Linked DNA regions of Mus musculus: all the other regions are reported to be linked to region 5. Evidence: microRNA targets listed by miRTarBase, many of them from high-throughput screens and not tested one by one. Region 5 holds a microRNA gene; each other region holds the end of a gene's coding sequence. Distances are between the middles of the regions.

Region 1 (4,058 bases), not on the chromosome of region 5:
AGCAGTCACCAACACCAAAGTGGGTGGACAAAGGACTGTGGTACACTCAGTGATAGGACAGTTCACAGCCATAGAGAAGAACATGAGAGACTATCATTTGTAGCAAAACAGACAGAACTGAAGGACATCATGTTCAATGAGTAAGTTGGCTGCACAGTGACGAACCTCATTCCCTCTCATACCCTGACTTAAAAGGATATGGAATTGTGAGGACCAGCTTTGGACAGAGACAGAAGGTAGATTTAAAACAAAGACCAAGTTTGCAGCTACTTGCATGCTGAAAATATCTTGTGGGTCTTCATTAATATATTACAATTAGTACATGTTAGTAAAAAAGTATTATTTTTAAAAATCTCAAACAAATTATTGTTCAATACATGTGCATATATTTTTAAATTACAGCTTAAAATAGATCTTTAATTTTATTGTTATTATATTATTACTACTATTGGTATGCATATGAGTGCATGGTGGGGGTGTCATCACCATGGTGCTTACCTTAGTGAATGTGTGGAGTCAGAGAGCAACTCTGAAGTCGGCTCTCTACTTCCACTCTCTGAGTGCCAGGGATTGAACTCAGCCCATCGGGACTGAGTAGCAAGTGCTGTTACCAACTGAGTCAGCTCATTGGCCCATAATTTTTAAAAATATTGATCTTAATTCTGTGTGTGTGTGTGTGTGTGTGTGTGTGTATGTTTGGGCAGGTATCTCCAAAGGCCAAAAGGCCTTTTGTGTGCCATCTGATGTGGGGGCTAAGATGGATCAAACTGCTGAGCCATCTCTCCAGACCTTTGTTGTTGTTGCTGCTGCTGCTGCTGCTGTTGGAGACAGGAATTCTCTGTATAGCCCTGGCTGTCCTGAACTCACTTTGTAGACCAGGCTGGCCTTGATCTCAGAAATCTGCCTGCCTCTGCTTCTGCCACTGCCACTGCCACTGCCACTGCCACTGCCACTGCCTCTCAAGTGCTATGATTAAAGGTGCACACAACCTCTGTTTGCCATAACCAGTAATTTTTTTAAAAAAATAAAATTTGACACTAACATTTTCAGAATTGCTAAAGCATGCATTGGAATCCTTATTTGGGAAGTAACTGAACAAGGTATCTTCAAAGGCCTCATTTTGAAGCTGGAATGTGACTGAGCAGTAAAGCCCCTTCCTGGATTCCCCCAGTAAGGGCTCAGGGTATGGCTTGAGATATAGCACTTGCCTTCAAGTCCTGGTTCTGTATCCAACACAGAAAAACAAGCTGTTTCTACTGCTGCTTTCACTGAGTCTGTCTAGTGTCCCATGGCGTGAAGGGGGCCTCTCACCTCTAAGGTCTGGCTGTAGCAAGGCTCCAGGCACAAGACCGGCTCACTAGATGGCTGTGAGCACTGTGGAGAAAGCCATTTCAAGGCAGAAGGTCTGGCAGCAAAGCAGGTAGATGCTAGCATGTCCTGATGTGTCAGGGAACTGAGTGAGACAGCATCTTAGCTGGGCACAGTGGTTATAGTTGTCCAAGCAGGAAATGGAGGCAGGAGGATAAGACTGTGCCAGCACTTTTGGCTACACATGGAGGCTGGTGTGGGCATCATGAGTGTTCATGTGTGCCTGAGCACCCATGTGGGTACATGTGATGTGTATCTGAAGGCATGAGGTTGAGTCAGGAATAATCATTGACTTCTCTTCTACCTTATTCATTGTGGCAGGGTCTCTTAATCAAACCCAGAGCTCACAGATGTGTCTAGCTAGCTAGCCAGAATGCTCAGGATCCTCTATGACCTTATTAGCTTTAACTGTCAACTTCACATAGCCTAGAGTCACCTGAGAAGCAAGTCTTAATTGAAGGGTTGCCCAGGTCAGACTGGTGTGTGGGCCTGTCCATGGGGCATTGTCTTGACTGCTAGCTGATGGAGGAGGGAGCCCACTGTGAGTGGTAAGTGGTTCTGGGGCTTATGAAAAAGCTTAGCTAATCAGGAGAACGGCAGAAACTACATCCTCTGTGGTTCAGGCTTGTGTCTTGAGTGAGAATGGCTCCCAGAGGCATATATATTTGAGTGTCTGGCCACCGGAGAGGGAACTGTTTAAAAGGATTCTCATGATATATCTTTCAGCTATTCCTGCAGCACCATGCCTGCCATGTGTGCCACCAGGCTCCCTGTCGTGATGACAGTGGACTAAGCCTTTGAAACTATAAACAGTTCTCCCAACCCCATTAACTGCTTTGCCATGGTCATGGTGTCTCTTGACCATCACTAATTGATAATGACGGAGACACTGCTGTATGACCGCGGCTGAGTCCCCTAGTCAGAGGTCATGCTGTGTGCAATAGCCAGCAGGCTTGCCTTCAGTTCCTGCTTGAGTTCGTTCCCTGACTTCCCTAAGTAAAGAACTGGGTGTGTGGCCTGGGGGTGAAAGCCAGATGAACCATTTCCTCCTCTAAGTTGCTTTTGGTCGAGTTTTTCAGTCACAGCAGTGGAAGAAACAAAAATAGCCTGTTCCCTGAGGCTAGGCTTACAGGTTGGTGACAGTGTGTACAATGTTCTTGTATTCTGGGATGCAAGGTGATTTAAGCCCTGAGCCAGCACCAGTCTTTTCTCTCTACATAGCTCTGGCTGTCCTGAAACTTACTATGTAACCTAAGGCTGGCCTCAAACTCACAGGAATCCTCCTGCCTCTGCCTCCTGAGTGCTGGGATTGAAAGCTATGCCACCACCAGATCCTAGGAGGATTTTTTTTACACACCATTTTGAGTCTCACAGCAGGAGCTGCAGACAGACTAACTATGCTGTGTGTTTAACTATGCTCTGTGTGGCTTTGCAGTATGGATTATGGGCTATTACTGGAGGCTCACTGCTATGAAGACAGGACAGCACCCATCACATCCCAGCAGTCTTTCACTCTCCATCACACAACACTTTGACAAGGTCACTCTTGGTCCCTACAATGATTTCAGATCCTCTCACAGCTAGTAACTGGCTCAGGGATAAGAATTGCACCAGTACAACTAAGAGGCAGAGCCAAGCCTTTGAGCCAAGTTCTTAGAGTAAGGTGGGAGATGCAGGCTGCTGCTCACTTGAAGGAAGTAGGCCTTCAGAACCCACAGAAAAAGCTATGAGGAAAAATGGAAGATGGTTGAGGGGAAGGGGGGGTCCACATGGCACCAGCAGAGAGAGTCAGTTGGCTTCAACCAGGTGAGCCATGGCTAAGTCACTGAAGCCCCTGCCTTGGTAGGCTTTCAGAGTATGAGGCAGACCTGTGAGCGTTTATTTGACTTTGATTCCTTTCCCTCTACGGCCACTGGTTCTGCATCCTGGGAGGCTTCTGCTGCAGCCAGCTCTTCCCTCTGCCTGGTCTTTACCAGCCACACTGCCTTCTTGAAGTTCTTGAGAGGGTCTTGCTGGGAGGCTCTGACTGACGGGCACTGGAAGCGCTCACGGATGAGATAGCCGTGGCTTGTGGGGGCCATGAAGCCATTGGAGGTAGGGATGATTCGGTTGATCACAGCATGAACAAACTGGACAGCCAAAAGAGTGCCTGTGACCAGGAAAGGGCAAGCCATGAGAAAATGGGGCCCAGAGATGGAAGGACATTGCAGCTGGTAATGTGCTTGGCCTGCAAACACAGGGCCTGAATTCAATCCCTTAACACGCATGCATGTGGAGGTGCACACTGGCAGTCCCAGCGCTCTGGAGGCAGACATGGATGCTCCCTGGGGCTCCCTGTTTGACCTAATCATTGGGCTCAAAGTCCATCATCTCCAGTACATGATTACCATCCATAGAATATGGGTATACACCCACCCTCATGGAGACCCAGGGAAGAAGGCTGTTCTGTCTCCAAAGGGGTCTACAGACCATGTGAGAAGAGTGCTATGGCAGCAGGCCATCAGGTCCTGCATACACCTCCTAAGCTGAGGGGCCCAGCTAAAGGCAGAAACAGGACCAGTAAGACCCAAGGTGACTCTTTTCCCTTCAGATCAGAGCTTGGTCCTAGGGAAAGAGCCCAGTAGGCATGCCAGTTAAGGTTTTGTTTTGTTTTATTTTATTTTGTTTTTTGTTTTTTTGTTTTGTTTTTT
Region 2 (4,058 bases), not on the chromosome of region 5:
ACTTGAGAGGCAAAGGCAGGAGGATCTATAAGATCTCCAAGGCCAGCCTGGTCTACAGAGTGAGTTCCAGGACAGCCAGGGCTACACAGAGAAATCCTGTCTTGAAAAACCAAAAAAGAAAAAAGAAAAGAAAAGAAAAGAAAAGAAAAAAGAAAGAAAGGGAAATATTAAGATGTCTGAGCCATGCCACATCAATCATCTTGCATGTTAACTTTGAAAGTCACAGAGCCAGTGCGCGGTGGATGTCCAGTGCTTGTGGTCGGGTGGGCAGGTGAAGGTCCCCAGAGGCTGTGCTGACGAGTAACCCTGAGCATTTCCCTCCCTGCAGATCAACATGTACCTGACCTCACGCGTCCTGTACGCCTTGTGCCGCCTGGGTGTGGAGAAGGGCTATATCCCTGCGCTCAAGTGGGACCCGTTCCCCTTGCACACTGCGGTGATTTGGGGGCTCGTGCTGTGGCTTTTTGAGTACCACCGGCCCACTCTGCAGCCCTCCCTACAGTCCTCCATGACCTACCTCTACGAGGACAGCAACGTGTGGCACGACCTCTCAGACTTCCTCATCTTCAACAAGAGCCACCCCTCCAAGTAACACAGTCCAAGGTGCTTCAGGAACTCCTCCGCCCAGACAGCTTCCAGGCAGCAGCCCACCTTCCAGGCAGCTGCTCAGGGTATGGTTCTGTTGGCATACCCTCGTGGAGGAGCCTGCCTTCTCAAAGTCATAATCCTCACACTCCAACTTGTATTAACCCAGGCTCCCATTTGCTGAAGTAAAAGTACTGAGTTTTCCACTTACCAGTACTTTTGAGTACTGTAGCAAGTGGCTGGGTCCCATTAAGGAGTCTGTGGCTTGATTCCAGATGCTCTTCCGACTTCTGTAAGGCCAGGGCAAACTCACCCCCTCTCAGCTTCAGGTCATTCACTTCAGGGGAGGACCCTCCGAGGAGAGTGTCTTCCTGGTGGATATGATGGCCCTTCCCCTCTACTGTATATCAGAGGGCTCCTTGCTAGTGGGCAATAGGTTACAAACACTTTGAAAGGGGAAAAAAAAACTAAATTCTTTGTCTAAATTATTCTGCTGAGAAGTTCTGGAGCCCTACTGTCAAATAGGAGCACTAGATGAGTCACGTGCACAGCACGTGTCAAGCTTGTATGAGACGCAGGATCCTATCACCAGCACTGAGAATAAAACTTCAAGTGTCCACATTTTTTGAGATGCATTAAGAAGGCTGTGGCCGGGCAGTGGTGGCGCACGCCTTTAATCCCAGCACTCGGGAGGCAGAGGCAGGCAGATTTCTGAGTTCGAGGCCAACCTGGTCTACAGAGTGAGTTCCAGGACAGCCAGGGCTACACAGAGAAACCCTGTCTCGGAAAACCAAAAAAAAAAAAAAAAAAGGCTGTGGCAGTAGGGTTGTGAGCTCCAGGCCAGGCTGCGATACATTAAAAAACAAACAAACAAACAACCTCTGTCTCAAAAAAAGGCGGGGGTGGGCGTCCAAGGAGATGGCTCAGTGAGTCAAGATGGTTGCAGCCAAGCCTGGCGACCTGAGTTTGATCCCTGTGTTCTACATGGTGACATGGTGGAAGAAGAGAACCAGCTCCTGCAAGTTGTCCTCTGCCCCCACATGTGTGCCTTGGCATGTGTGCATGCACACGTGCACACACACACACACACACACACACACACGCACATATACAATAAATAAATGAAAATATAATAAAACATTAAAGAACATGTAAAATTAATCTTAATCATATATTTTGCCTGCATGTACATCTGTGTACCATGCGTGTGTGTGGTACCAGCAGAAGTCAGCAGAGGGCGCTGAGTTCCTTGGAACTGAGGGTATGGGTGTTGTGAGCCACTATGTGGGAAATGAAGCTTGGTCTTGGTCGTCTGCAAGAGCACTTAAGTTTGTTGTTGTTGTTGTTGTTGTTGTTGTTGTTGTATGATTGTTTGAGGTTTTTTTTTTTTTTTTTTCCCCAGACAGGGTCTCTCTGTGTAGCCCTGGCTGTCCTGGAATTAACTCTGTAGACCAGGCTGGCCTCGAACTCAGACTGCCTCTGCCTCCCAGTGTTGGGATTAAAGACGTGGACTGCCTGGTGAACTAAGTGCCTTTCACCACTAAGCCATTTCTCCAGCCTCAGACCTTTAATCGTGTATATTTTAACTCAATATTTCCCAAACTGTGCCATTGCTACATATGTTAATATAAAAGATTGGTAACAGCCTTTCTTGAAGTATGTCCTCAACACTGCCAGTGTGTTCTGCGTGCACCAGGTCACACGGTTATCCTCACAGAAGGTTCCGGAGGACACTGAAAATCTGGAACTAAAGACACAGTCTGAGCCCTGCCCCCACTCTGTGATGCATCCCCGGGGAAGGCTCTCCAACTCTCAGCACCTCCAGCCCTGCTAACCCGATGCCCACCCTGGACACTTGGCAGCACCTGAGAGCCACTATACCAGTGACTTCAGCATAGCGAGTTTCTCCTTCCTCCTGACTGCTTTGCATATGATTGTCTTTAATCCCTAGTAACCTTGCAAGGATGCACGCTGATCCATGTTTTCCAGGTATGTGGTCTCAGGATGATTTGAACAGCCTGCCTGACTTTGAAGCCCGTGTTTCCTTCAGTGCCCCGCATTAAACCTAGAAAACCTTAGCCGTGCTTTGCAGTCGTTGATTATAGCATCTGACATTTGACACCAACCCAGATGCTCACAGGAGCTCTTGGTGGCATAAATGGAAAGTGCTTGGGGTGCTATGGCACGGGGGGGAATGGGGCACAGTGGACTGGAGAATTGTGTGCCAGGCAGAATTTTTAAAAACCATTCATCTGAAGGAACAAAACAGCTCTCAGAAAAGCCTGGTCCGGAGGCTACCGATTTGAGGCACTTGGTTTGGTGCAGTGCATTCCTTCCACCGTGCCCTCTCCTCCTGTCTTTTTATGTGACTGAAATGACCAGTAGAAGTCTACTCGAGTCGCTGGAGTGCTCATCACTGTGCGGATTCTGGGCTGGCATGGAGACAAACGCCCATATTCACAGCACCTGGGAGGTGGGGGCAAGAGGAAGGGAGCTCAACGTCATTTTCTGCTACAAAGCAAGTTGGAAGCCTGGACGACTGAGACCCTATCTCATGAACACATGAATGAATGAGTGGATGAATGAATGAATGAATACAATGCAAATTCTGACCCAGGGGGTCTGGAGCTGGTCCAAGGTATGTCTTATAAGTTTCCCAAGCTGTGGGTACTGTTCTAGGAGCCCCGCCAGCTTGCTGAGGGGGTGGTGAATGGCAGTTGTCCCAGGTCACTGACCAGTCACAGAGCTGCAGGGCAGCAGAGGCTCTCTCTGACTCCCCAGTGCTCTCAGCCACGGCCGTTCCCTGCGAGTTCAGAGCAGATCGTTTGGAAGAGCTGCTTTCTCTGCTGGAACTGGAAGATGAACCAGCGCTGGAGCCCGTCAGGAGACGGCCATTGCCAGGCAGGTCTAGTCTAGATGATGGGGAGCCCTGCCATCCTCTCTTCTCTTCATACCTGGCTTCTCCAGTCGCCACTCCGGTGTCCCCACCCCCACCCCCCCACCCCCGCCTGAGGGATCCCACTCCTGGTGCCTGATTTACCACTCTGCGGCAGGTGTGAAGTTTTAGAGATTAATATGCCCCTTGAGCAGCATTAGGCCAGCACTAAGAAATATCATCACAGGCAGCTCCCAGCCCTCAGAAGAGATAACCCTCCATACACTCTGCGTGCTGCTTGCTAGAGCTCCAAGCAGGGCTGGACTCCAGGTGCCCATGGTGGAAACTATCTCCTTCAACGCCACATCCATTGCATCTGCTGGGACAGTGCGTCACTTGCACACAAACCCTTGTCTTGGGCTTTATTATTGGAGAAAAACCCAAACTAAAATTGGCTACTAGTCAATACACTAAGAGGCAGTATAGACAGTTGCAAGGGGTAAGGGCTTTGGAGCCAGCATGCTCAGGTTGGAGCCCTGACGGATGAAGTGGCTTAGCCATCTGTGCCTCATCTGTAAAAGGGGTGTTGTGATGACAT
Region 3 (4,058 bases), 23 Mb from region 5:
CCCATGCTGGGATTTTCGGTTGACTGCTTAGGTGGCTCACCTCAGACTTTGTACAGCTCAGGGCCCTCCAGCCTCAGTGTCTAGAGTTGCAGGCATTAGCTGCTCTGTAGGCATTAGCTGCTCTGCTTTTCGGCCATCTTCTCAGTTGGGTCGCCCAATAGTCTACTCCCTGCTTGTGGGAGGTGGGTGTGGGAGGGTCCTGTAGCTCTCTGCTCAGTCAGTTCTTAGTGTCCCTGTTATGCCTATGTAGATTTCCAAATCTGAAGTCTGTCCGGGAGCTCATCTTGAAACGTGGCCAAGCAAAGATTAACAATAAGACAGTCCCTCTGACGGACAACACGGTGATCGAGGAGCACCTGGGTGAGTGCTGTGGCCTGGGCTTGGTGGCTGCGATCCAGGGTGTATTCTTGGACCTGACAGTCCCAGCCTTTTGGGTTTTTCCCCCCTTTATACTGGCTAGGTGGTGAACACAGAAATCTACACCCTCTTGTTTTTCAGGGAGATTTGGTGTCATTTGCCTGGAAGACCTCATCCATGAAATTGCCTTCCCTGGGAAGCATTTCCAGGAGGTCTCTTCATTTCTGTGCCCTTTCCTCCTCTCTGTGGCCCGCCATGCTACCAGGAACAGAGTGGGCTTCCGCAAAGAGATGGGCTCCCCGGGCTACCGGGGAGATCGGATCAATCAGCTCATTCGGCAGCTCAACTAGAGCAGGAGCAGGTGAGGCGAGTGTGTGCTGCCTGCTGCACAGCGCTTGTGTCGCCAGACACCAGCCTCGGCTCGGAGAGGGCCTGAGAAGGGGTGACTGGGAGCGGGGAAACAAACAGCTCAAAGTCAGGTGCTGGGTCCAAGCTGGCAGCCTGTGCCCTGCTCCAGACACTTGGCCAGCCTCCTCTCTGTTCTGCTTGAGACTGGATAGCTCGTCTCTTGCAGATTATAGGCACAGCTTTTTATTTTACAAATCAATCCAGATAGTTACTCCAGGTTCCTATGAATCAGCCTCCCTTGACCACAGCTCCTTAATTCTTAGGAGACTGCAAATGGACCTTTTCTTTTAACTTTGCAAAAGAATTCAGATATCTGCCTGCCTCTGTTATCACAGACAGGGAGCTAGTTTGTGGGACCGGGTCCTGAAATTACCACTTGTATCACACCTGGGTCTAACCTTGCTCTGTCCCAAGTCACCCTGGACTCAGGAATCTGTCTGCCTTTGTAAGCATAAACAGCAACAAAAATAACAACTTAGTGGTCACCACTCCCTAAATCTCTTTATCTCCTTCCTTAGTATCTTTCTGACAAACAAGCTGGCTCGCAGCGCAGCTGCTTTTGTTCCTTTAGATTTGTTAAGCCCCTCATGTATGTAAGTACACTGTAGCTGTCTTCACACACACCACAAGAGGGTGGCAGATCTCATTATGGGTAGTTGTGAGCCACATATGGTTGCTGGGATTTGAACTCAAGACCTCTGGAAGAGCAGTCAGTGCTCTTAACCGCTGAGCCATCTCACCAGCCAGAAATTATATATTTTTGAACCCGTTTTATTTTTTTGTTTTTTGTTTTGTTTATTTGTTTTCCGAGACAGGATTTCTCTGTATAGCCCTGGCTGTCCTGGAACTCACTCTGTAGACCAGGCTGGCCTTGAACTCAGAAATCCGCCTGCCTCTGCCTCCCAAGTGCTGGGATTAAAGGCGTGTGCCACCACGCCCGGTGGTTTTTTTTTTTTTTTAAATTTATTTATTTATTTTATTTATTTACTTATTTTGGTTTTTTGAGACAGTTTCTCTGTATAGCCCTGGCTGTCCTAGAACTCACTTTGTAGACCAGACTGGGCTCGAACTCAGAAGTTCACCTGCCCCTGCCTTCCGAGTGCTGGGATTAAAGGCATGAGCCACCAAGCCCAGCAGTTTTTTTATTTTTATTTATATGAGTACACTGTCGCTGTCTTCAGACACACCAGAAGAGGGCATCAGACCCCATTACAGATGGTTATGAGCCACTGTGTGGTTGCCGGGAATTGAACTCGGGACCTCTGGAAGAACAGTCAATGCTCTTAACCACTGAGCCATCTCTTACTTAAGTACACTATAGCTGTCTTCAGATGTGCCAGAAGAGGATGTCAAATCTCATTATGGGATTACGGGTGGTTATGACCCACCATGTGGTTGCTGGATTTGAACTCAGGACCTTCGGAAAAGCAGTCAGTGCTCTTATCCACTGAGCCATCTCGCCAGCCCTGAACCCATGTTTTTAAGAGTCCTTTTTCACAAACTTAAGTGCTGTCATGAATGTCCCAGCATTTCCCTTTTTGTTGAGACCTCAGCCATCCATACCTTCACCCCTGATGCATGCTGACTGGTTATCACTAGCATTAACGCTAACTGGGATAACATTCCTGAGGAATGTAAGTCATTATACAAACATTATTATACAAAGAGGCCTTATGCCCATAGCAGCCGTCAACACTCATGGAGGCTCACACCTGCTGGCCCTATACAGGTGCCGAGAGCCATGTCATTCTGTCCCCTGCTGAGGCCATGCCAAACCCAGCACTGGGGTAGGTCAGAGGACACTTCTCTCCTCTATTGGTTCTGAGAATCTTTACTGGGTAGTCTTTGTGGCCAGCAGTCTTACTCACTGAGCCATCTTGTTGGCACCTTGTCTGACTTTTGGTGGGCCATGCTTGTCAACTAGAAGTCCCTCTGTACGCTGGAGAGCTAGTTAGCAGTTGACCCTGGCACTTGAAGAATGAGAGTTGTTCTGTGTGAAAACAGGAACAAGCCTGTGTGTTGACCTGTTGGAAAGGGACAATGCCTGATACAGCTCTGTTAGGTCACGGGCTAGAAAATGTCTATGTTGCTGTGGACTTTTAGCCTGCAGTGGAGGAGGAATCACATCAGAAACTGATTTCAGAAGGACTATGCAGGCCGGTTGGTTACCTGTTCTGCTGAAGGATCGCGACTGGAACACTCTGTCGCTGTTCTCTCAGACCCAAGTTGAGATTGGTTTGTTGACACAGCTGTGTTTTCCCTCCTTAGGTTTTCCAAAAGCACCCCTCGGAAGTGTTTTTGTCGTCGTTTAAAATTATCAAGTATCTTCAGAGAAGATTATTTTCTGCCTTCAGAAACTGAAGGAAGGCTTGGGCCTAGAGAACGACAGTAAGGTGCGAGCACCGGAGACACTTAACACAGCTCAGTCCATGGAAGGACGAGTTCCCTCATTGGCTGCCTGTCTCGAAATCCACGCAAGCTGTGGAGGAAAGAATTACCCTGCTCATCCTGCCTTCTATCTTGGTGTTTAATGTTGGGTGGGCAACAAGCACAAACCTCCCTCCCACCCCCTCCAAGACTGTTAGAGCAGTGGGCCAGACCAAGCGGCGCACTTGAACATGGATCAAGAGGGTCCCGGTTTTACTTTTTATTTTTGTCAGGGTAGGCAGTCTTGTGTTTGCTTTGTTCAAAGCAGGGTCTCCCTGTTGGCCCTGGCTGGCCTTATACTCCACAGCAGTCCTGCCTCCTCCTCCTAGGTGCTGGGATTAAAGGCGTGCGCCACCACGCCCGGCTACAGCCTGCATTTTTATGCACATTGGTCTGTTAAGCTAGTTGCATTCTGTGCTACCGGAGGGGACTGAAGTTTAATCACTTGTCTTCTATTAAAAACTAGTGTTTGCCTGGGCCTGGTGTGTATACCTTTAGTTGCAGCGCTTGGGAGGCAGAGGCAGGCAGACTTCATGAGTTCAGGGACAGGCAAGCCTGCTCTACAGATTTCCAGGATACCCAGGGCTACACATAGAGAAAATGTTAAAGATAAACAAAAAGCTGGACAGTGGGGGAGCACACCTTTAATCCCAGCACTCGGGAGGCAGAGGCAGGCGGATTTCTGAGTTCGAGGCCAGCCTGGTCTACAGAGTGAGTTCCAGGACAGCCAGGACTACACAGAGAAACCCTGTCTCAGAAAAAAAACAAAACAAAAACCAATGCAGTGATAGATTGTTGTTTCCTAAACCACATGTACCCAGGAAATGCCCACTAAATTTCACCTGGATCAGTGTTAACTGATCATT
Region 4 (4,058 bases), not on the chromosome of region 5:
AGGAGGAGCCATGCTTTCTGTGTTCCTGACTGGAGATGTAGCAAACTGGGTGGTTCGGATGAGAGCGTGTATCGCCACGCTTGGCTAGCCAGGACTCTCCCATCCCCTGAGATAAGAAATGGGTCTGTATCATTATGGTGCTTTGAGACAAACTTCAATCTGCTTAGACTTAGACGCACACCATTCTCCTCTGTCTATATCCTCTTTCTTTTCTGTCAGCTAATCATTTGGCCGGCAAACTTACTGTGTCCAGAAAGTAAGATTGAGTCCTGGATAGGACTCTAGATGGAGAAGAATTCATAAGTGAGAGAGAGACCGGCCTCAAGCCTTTGCCATCACCTCCTTCTATAAGAGAATGGTCCCTTCAGTCTATTAATTCACTGAAATTATTCCTGAATTCGTTTGACAAATTATACCTAATTACACTTTTGGGTTTTGTTTTTTGTTTTTGTTTTTTTGTTTTTTGGACTAGGATTCCCAAAGAAATTACAGTGAGTAATATTCATCAGGCCATTTGCAACATTCCTTTTCTGGATTTTCTTACAAACAAACACATGGGGAGACTGAATGAGGATCAGTGAATACAGCGAAGAGATCCCTGAAAAGCGGGAGAGGCTGTGTCTGCAGTGTGCAGACTGTGACCCTCGTGTTTGAGGAAAGCTGGTGTTTTCTGTGTTGGAACGCCACGGTTGCCAGACCATTCCTTCCATCTAACTGCGTATTACACAAGGGCATCGAGTTCCAGGTGCCCCCCTTTTAGGACAGAGTTGTTTCCCAATTCTGGAGGGAAGCTGAATGGACACGGCTTCGTCAGTTTGCATTTCTTTACTCCCACAAGGCTCTGCGGGGTCTTGGTGTGAGACAAGGCACATGCACGGGGTGCTCGGTCCCTCTGTGGGCTGTGCGTGGGTTCACCTGGGGCCTGCTTTTCAGAAGGCAAAGATAAGCCCGCCATGCTGGGCTGGGGAACTCTGAAGAAGACCAGCAACGAGTACCTTCTCCCGCCTTGCCTCAGCGTAGAAGGGCTGCACTCTTGGCTGGTGTGAGTCAGCTACAGAGAAGGTAATACGCCATGTGGGAGGCCAAGGAGGCTGCAGTGAGACTCTTCCACGGAACCATGACGCTAGTGCAGTGACAGCCTGTGTCACGGCCGTGTTGAGGGGTCCCAGCAGAGGCCTGTGTCGTGTAACCCAGGGACTACAAGTGTCAGTGTGGGTATCAACCTCAAAGTCAGGCACTTGAGCCATGTGTGGTCCTCCTCCATCTGGGATTCAGAAGCCCCTGCCACTGCCTCAGGTCAAGGGGAGGGAGGCAGCCTCAGTGCAGACTTTATAGGATTGTCCTCTTGGTGGACCGGAGTCCTGTCCTTCTCTGCCAAAGAGTTTTACCAAGATGAAAAGGGTTGAAACACCTGTGAGTGCCTTACATGGGAAGAACTGCTCTAACCCACTGTGCTAATGTTCAGAAGCAGAGCCCTCAGTGAGAGCTGCACACACGAGCCTCTAGCATCACTACACAGTGTGCACACACTGGGGACTCCCCAGTCCTCCTGACTATTATGGGGACACAGGAAAGACCTCAGCCTCAGTTGTAAACCTGCTCTTTGTCTGCTCAAAGGAAACTTGAAATATCTGAGTAAAAGTCAAAGAAACCCAGCTAAGTAAGCAACATAAAGCCTGTTGTGTCAGGTCCTGCAGGTCGATGTGTGAGTCAGGAAACACTGCAGGGAAATAGACCTTTCCTTCCGTACCTGAGAGCTGCAGGTACCAAGGGATCTACCGTGCAGGGACTGGGCAAGCACAGCTTACTGCTATAATTGGGTATATAAGGCTTAAGAATTTGGTCTATGCCAGGCGTGGTGGCGCATGCCTTTAATCCCAGCACTCGGGAGGCAGAGGCAGGCGGATTTTTGAGTTCAAGGGCAGCCTGGTCTACAAAGTGAGTTCCAGGACAGCCAGGGCTACACAGAGGAACCCTGTCTCAAAAAAACAAAAAAAAAATAAAAACAAGAATTTGGTCTAAGACCATACAGCAGATTGATATGCTGGCACAGATTTGTTCAGAAGTGGACAGAGACTTACAAGGTAGAGTATCCCAATGAGAGCAGATTCATTTGTTGTGATAAAAAACCTAAAGAAATTACTTTTTTGCTAAAAAAAAAAAAATCAAATGATTTAACAGTTTCTGTGTATGTTAAACTTTCAAGTGTTTTTTTAAATCATAATGTGTAATAATTGTGTATCATTTTGTCTACAATAAAACGTTTAGTATTTGCAATGGGTTTTCTGAGCTGGAAGCACCGTACTTAGATGGGCTCATTGAGAGAGGTGGTTGTGGTATGAGTCTTTGTAAGTTTAAATTGATATCTCTACTTCCCTAAAAAAAAAAGAAAGAAAGAAAAAGAAGATGCAACCATGCAATATAAAAGGACCACAGTTACATTCAGGTCACTTACAAAACCGTGAGCATAATTATTTCATACAAGCAATTTGGGGTAAAGGAAAATGAATAAATGGGTTCAGTTTCTCAAAAAAGCAGACTCTTTGTCTAACAAGCTAGTTTATCTGGTGAAATAAAGTTGGTCTGTGCTAAGCTCTGAATCACTCCCAGGATGCAAGTCTTATAAACAAGTATGTAACAGTGCAGACACACCAGAACTAAAGGCTCTGAAATCTGTGGCTTTCACAAGGGAGTTTCTCTGAAGAGGCATTGGGGATACAGTCCACAGAGGTAGCTGGCTGGGAAGCAACAAAGCAGAGCCCTGGAGAGTAAGGCTAGCTGGGGGCACAGGACAGTGTGGGTGCTGACAGCGCCCTGGGCTTCGGGTAGCATACCCTATCCAGTAGAAGCCAGAAGTCCTGAGTTCTGTCCCTCAAAGTATGGAGAGGTAAGACCTTCCTTCAGCATGTTATTGGACTTTCAGGCTTTCTGATTAGTTGACCTTATAATGTACACACACCTGATTGAGGCAGTTCCCACATTGTGGTTATGGAATAATTAATATTGAATACTCTTCTCAAATTAACAGATTAAAGTGCTTTATTTTTCAAAACTTACAGAATATAAAAGTTATTAAATTTATAGGAATTTTAGCAGGTATGATAAAGTATTTTTAAAAATTTGGGCTGGAGAGATGGCTCAGTTGAAGTGCATGCAGTACCTGAGTTCAGTCACCAGAACCCACATAAAAATGGCAGGCATGGTGGTGCACACTTAAAATCTGAGCACTGGAGAGGCAGCAGAGATGGGCAGATCACTTGAGGCTTGCTATACAAGCAGCCTAAGCTACTTGGCGAGCCCTGGGCCAGTGAGAAAAATGAAGGGTACCTGAAGAATACTCTGAGTTGTCCTCTGTCCTCTACACGTGCCTGCACATACATGAACACACATCCCCATATATACAGGAATACACACGTACATATAACGCCATATACACACTCCTTTCTCAGAGATGAGCCCTGCTCATCCTCCAGTGTATTTTTCTGGTCTTTGTGCACATTGTGTGTAAGGTGGACTCAGAACTAAGAGAACAAGGCTGACATTGGCCTTGGTGGCTTCTTGGTTGTTCGTGGAACCATGTGACCATACTCAGATCTGCAATGAGGAGGGACTTCCTAAGGGCAGGGTTTCATTCCTCAGGAGGACTGGTGAGAAGAGCTTTGTGGCACACTGCTGAGGTCATGCATCTCTACACCAAGAGTGAATGCAGGGGGTGGGGTTGCTGGACATGTGGTGCGGTCACTAGCAGTGTACAGCTGGAGGCTTTTAGCTGGGGCATGCCAGTGGCTACAGCAGGACCAAAAGGTACCTGGAAGAGTTAAAGTGGAAAGGACTATTGGGGAGCCATGCTTGGCTGGCTTTCCGGAGGATGTCCTAACAAGCCAGCAGGGTATAGGTAATAGCAGTCTCACTTTCAGGTGCAGAAGTGGAGTGCTCACTGTCCCTGCCAGTGAGGAAGCAGCAGTGGCACAGATGGCCCCTTTTCCCACTTAAGTATGCAGGAGAGCTGAAGTGGAAAGAAGGTAACACCTGCAACACTGGAAGCATCTGCAGCTCTG
Region 5 (4,055 bases):
CTCCGCATCGAGCCCTTTTCCAGCCCTCCAGAGCTTCCAGATGTGATGAAGCCACAGGATTCTGGAGGCAGTGCCAATGAACAAGCTGTGCAGTGAGGGCCTAGGCCTACCCCCTAGAGACCCATTTCCCCAATAAAAAAAATTTGGCTGTCTACCTGATTGACTTTTCTGTTCCCTCTTGTTCACAGAACTCTTAACCCCAAGTAAAGACTACAGACCAATTACTGCATTTCTCATTTTTATTTGACAGAAAAAGTTGCTTTTACTGTACAGATTTTAAAAAACCAAAATGCCTTAAACAAAGTTGGGGGGGAGAGGGCCTCACAACCTTGTAAGGGGGTGCAGCAGGGCCAACCAACTTCAGCTCCTTCCTCTTTCAGGAAAGATTACAACTTACCAAGTTAAACCATCAGTCACCCAAGAATTTAGGGAGCTAACTCCCTGGATCATCACAATCTGAGGCCTAGATGTCCTGAGCTGTGCCCCTCCCTCCCTAGACTCCCTCCCTCCCACTCCAACCCCCAAAACACAAGAACCAGGAAAAACTCACAGAGATCAACATTTCACAGGAACCAAAAAAAAAAAAAAAAAAAAAAAGGGTGGGTGGGAGAGGACGCTCTCCCCTCAAGATGCTGCCAAGGTTCAAGGGAAGGCATACAAAGACTCCTTCCATGATTCTTCTGGGAAAAATGAGGAATACTCATGTCTCCAGAGTATGAGGTGTAGTGGAATCCAGATTATGGAGACCTGGAATAGAGAAGACTGGTCATTCTGGGTCACCACACATATCCCTATCCCTAACTACTAGCTCTCAGAAGGGCCAGACTTCCAAGGAGACACACCTGGAGGAGCGGTGACGATTAGAACGGGGACTAGGTGTCTCCTTCCTCTTGTGACCAGGAGAGTGACTGTCCCCTCGCTGGCCTCTCCAGGAAACTCGCTCACTGCTACAAGAGGAGAAATTAGGTCACAGAACAATACCAAAAACTTTTAAATTTTGCTTACAAATTAATGGTAGCTAGTTGAGTCAGGTTGCTAGCACCTGCTATAGGCCCTACCTCTGTAGATCCCTTGGTGAAGGTTGGGGCGAGGGCTGTCGACGCTCAACGGGTGAGTAACTGAGGGATCGGGAATCCCGAAGGGAGTCTATTGGCTTCCGAGGACTTCGAGACCTAGGAAGCAGAGTAGGCCTCTATAGCTCCACATCCTCCCAAACCCACCAGCCAAGCATTCAGGACCACCCACCCAGGTCCTGACCACCAAACCTCACACCACACAGGGCCAGCCTCAGACCCACCTTTGTCCGCACTCACCCATCCGCCCGCACACCATCCACCGAGTACCCCAGTGGACAGGGCACAGGGTGCAGCGGGGGATGCAAAGATAAAAGAGTCCCTGCCCTTGGAAGAATTTTGTTTGGTAGTAAAGGTTAACAATGAAGGCACACACGCCCCCTACATAGGAAACAGCCCAGCAGGATGGATATGCATGGGCCTGGGGATCCAGAGAAAGGATGGGGACCTGGGCAGGACAGGGAAATGGCAGGGCAGTCTTCTCGGAGGTGCTGTTTGAATGCAGTCTTGCAGAACGAGTTCACCAGGCAGACAAGGAAATCCCAGGCAGAAGGAACAGCATGTCCAAAGGCATGGGGCTCTCCTTAGACTGCAAGGCGCTGGGTATGGCCGGAGCACGGGGCATGTGTGGGGGCGGGCAGGAGGAGCACAGGGCGGGCAAGGGCAGCTGGTGAAGAGCCTCACACGCCATTCCCGCAGAGGTGGCACTTTATCCTGCAGGCCACAGGGCGTTCCGGAAGGATTTGTGGAGTGAAGGGAAGTAACCAGATGTGCGTTTTAGAAAGATCCCTCTGGCTACGTGTGGAAGAGAATGGCGTGGAGGCAGGGAGACAGGGAGGAGGCTGTGGACAGAGTCGGGAGAAGATGACGGTGGCCAGACCAGAGCCCTGCAGCAGCAATGGGGAGACTTAGAGCTAGATCTCTGAGACCAGGCTGCTTGTCAGGGGAGGGGAGAGGGAGGAAGAATCCTATGACTTCCCAGATATGGCCTGGGACACCTCAGTTAGATAGTGCAGCCCTTGACCAGAATACAACACTGTGGGAGGATGGGAGGAGTCCGGCACTCCTTCTCCCGTACAACCAGTCACAGACGTCCACACGAGGCACCCCAGCAGGAACCTCACCCAGGGTCCCCTTTCTGGAGAACTCACCCCAACCCCCCTTCCACAACAGGCAAGAAAGCACTCACCTCCTCTCGCCAGGGGGTGGCTTCTTGGGGCTTGCAGGTTTGGGTAATGCCTGAGGGCCAGGCTTAGCAGGGGAGGGGGAGGAGGAAGAGGAGGAAGAAGAGGAGGAAGAAGAGGAAGAAGAGGAGGAGGAAGATGAGGAGGAGGAGGAAGAGGAAGAAGAGGAAGAGGAGGAGGAGGAGGAGCTGGAACTGGAGCTGCTAGAGCGCCTCTTCCTTTTGGCCGGGGTTGGTTCCTGAGGACGTCCCTCTCTAATAGCCTCCTTTGGGACTGGGGTGGGGCTGGGAACCCTGTGAGAGAAGAAAGGTGTCACAAGGAGACAAGATGCCCCAACCCCAACCCTACCTTCCTTGGCCTGGAGGAACGGCAGTGGGGGAGGGGTGCCTGAGAAAAGCCCTGGGAAAACACGAAGGCAGGCCAGTGAGTAGTACTTCTCTGGAGCAGTGGCACAGAGCTGACCAAACCTCTGCTAACACAAGCAACAGGCTGGGGCCCGAAGCACAAGGGATCAAGGTTAAACCTCAAGAATGTCCCTGATGAAGGATTAAGGCCCCTGGACTCAGATGTGGAAGCTGAAGCTGGGTGATCTCCTTCCTTGGAGAGCCGCAGCTTGGGGAGGCCCCTGTGAGTGCAGGTTGGCTGGGGAGGGGCCGTCCTGCCTGGAGGCAGGGAGAGGGATGGGATGACCTCTGAAGATCCTTCCAGCCCAGGGAGTTCCTCTTGAGGTCTAACTGCCATCCCTCCTGCTGTAAAATTAAGTCCATTTCCTCTAGTTCTGTCCTCTGTAGAGATGGAAAACTTATCATTATCCTCTGGAGAATTAACCTTTGGAGACTTTTATCTGTCCCATTCCTCCCCACAAAGCCCCCGCCCAACATTCTTTCTACTCCCAGCTTGAAGGCCAAGGTCCCCCATACTTTCTCAAAGCCAAGTGCTTTTGACAAGATTTCTCCCTCCCTACTCACCCACCCATTGTTAAGTCCCTGCTCCCTAGATCCCTTAATTGCCTCACCTTTTCAGTGCCACCTCAGGTTGAGCTGGAAGGCTGGAACCCTCTGAATCACTAGAACTGGAGCCAGAGGAAGAGGAGGATGACGATGAAGATGATGAAGAGGAGGAGGAGCTAGATGATGATGAAGAGGAGGAAGAGCTCCGACGTTCCTTAGCTGGTTGCAGAGCAGCCAATGTAGAAGGCTGCTGGGCCCCAGTAGAGGCAGGTGGCTCCCCACCTTCAGCATGGGATATCCCAGGGGCAGGGCCAGAAAGCATGCCATTGTGGTCACTAGCAGAGGATGTGGACTTCGCTACTGTCCCGGATGAAAGGGACTGAGACCCTGCTACAGGAGTGGTCTGGACAACTGAACGAGATTGGTCTGAAAAAGCAGATGGCACAGGGGACCGAGGCCGATCCTGTGCAGGAGGGAGAAGAGATTGCGAAGAAGCCTGAACCATTCTTGAAGCAGGGGAAGGAGCCCGCTCACGCTCAGAGGTCATTCTAGACTGGCTTGGGGCAGATGGTGGTGTTCTGGACCTGGCTCGATCAAGCATTAAAGGTGAGGTTCTGCCACTAACACGATCATAAGCAGAAAGGGGCACCCTGGGACTGGTGAGGTTTGCACCAGACAATGCTGGAGCCATCCTGGAACTGGAGAGATTTGTGGGAGCCAAGCCTGCAGGGGTTCTAGAGCCAGCAATATTCACAGGAGCTGTGCCATGCGCAGATCGAGGACCCACCACCAGGTTTGCGGGGGTTGGAGCCTGGGGTGTTCTGGAACTGGAGGGGTAATTTGCAGCA

Evidence for each region. The annotated mature microRNA mmu-miR-5125 reads UCUGCCUGGGAUUUCCUUGU and lies in region 5 at 1,605-1,624, opposite strand. An mRNA with a match to its seed (bases 2 to 7 or 8) in the 3' UTR can be bound and repressed. Matches are read on the target gene's strand: a 7mer-m8 pairs with bases 2 to 8, a 7mer-A1 pairs with bases 2 to 7 and ends in A, and an 8mer does both.
Region 1: the mRNA of Nwd1 is a reported target of mmu-miR-5125. Seed matches in the 3' UTR shown: 7mer-A1 at 2,657-2,663 and 8mer at 900-907.
Region 2: miRTarBase lists Pxmp4 as a target of mmu-miR-5125. Seed matches in the 3' UTR shown: 7mer-m8 at 637-643, 7mer-m8 at 656-662, 7mer-A1 at 1,277-1,283 and 8mer at 1,286-1,293.
Region 3: the mRNA of Rpl7l1 is a reported target of mmu-miR-5125. Seed matches in the 3' UTR shown: 7mer-A1 at 3,705-3,711, 8mer at 3,714-3,721 and 7mer-A1 at 3,855-3,861.
Region 4: the mRNA of Yeats2 is a reported target of mmu-miR-5125. Seed matches in the 3' UTR shown: 7mer-A1 at 1,890-1,896.

Annotation. Positions count from the first base shown.
Region 1 is chr8:72,711,052-72,715,109 of GRCm38, reverse strand. It overlaps Nwd1 (NACHT and WD repeat domain containing 1), which reads right to left. Exons shown (of 19, transcript NM_176940.5): 19 at 364-3,517. The coding sequence ends at 3,219. Among named protein-coding and RNA genes, the nearest start is that of Sin3b, 10 kb to the left of the region's middle.
Region 2 is chr2:154,584,363-154,588,420 of GRCm38, reverse strand. Pxmp4 (peroxisomal membrane protein 4) reads left to right here. Exons shown (of 4, transcript NM_021534.3): 4 at 329-1,377. The coding sequence ends at 592. Among named protein-coding and RNA genes, the nearest start is that of Gm39963, 2.8 kb to the right of the region's middle.
Region 3 is chr17:46,774,712-46,778,769 of GRCm38, reverse strand. It overlaps Rpl7l1 (ribosomal protein L7-like 1), which reads left to right. Exons shown (of 7, transcript NM_025433.3): 5 at 251-360; 6 at 499-718; 7 at 3,034-4,058. The coding sequence ends at 707. Among named protein-coding and RNA genes, the nearest start is that of 2310039H08Rik, 4.1 kb to the right of the region's middle.
Region 4 is chr16:20,230,293-20,234,350 of GRCm38, forward strand. It overlaps Yeats2 (YEATS domain containing 2), which reads left to right. Exons shown (of 31, transcript NM_001145930.1): 31 at 473-2,281. The coding sequence ends at 581. Map6d1 (MAP6 domain containing 1) reads right to left here. Exons shown (of 3, transcript NM_198599.2): 3 at 3,017-4,058. Among named protein-coding and RNA genes, the nearest start is that of Gm41431, 4.3 kb to the right of the region's middle.
Region 5 is chr17:23,820,908-23,824,962 of GRCm38, reverse strand. Mir5125 (microRNA 5125) reads right to left here and starts at 1,672; the gene lies at 1,594-1,672. Srrm2 (serine/arginine repetitive matrix 2) reads right to left here. Exons shown (of 15, transcript NM_001368687.1): 11 at 3,273-4,055; 12 at 2,263-2,550; 13 at 1,059-1,172; 14 at 843-947; 15 at 222-747. The coding sequence ends at 738. It overlaps Elob (elongin B), which reads left to right. Exons shown (of 4, transcript NM_026305.2): 4 at 1-223. The coding sequence ends at 96.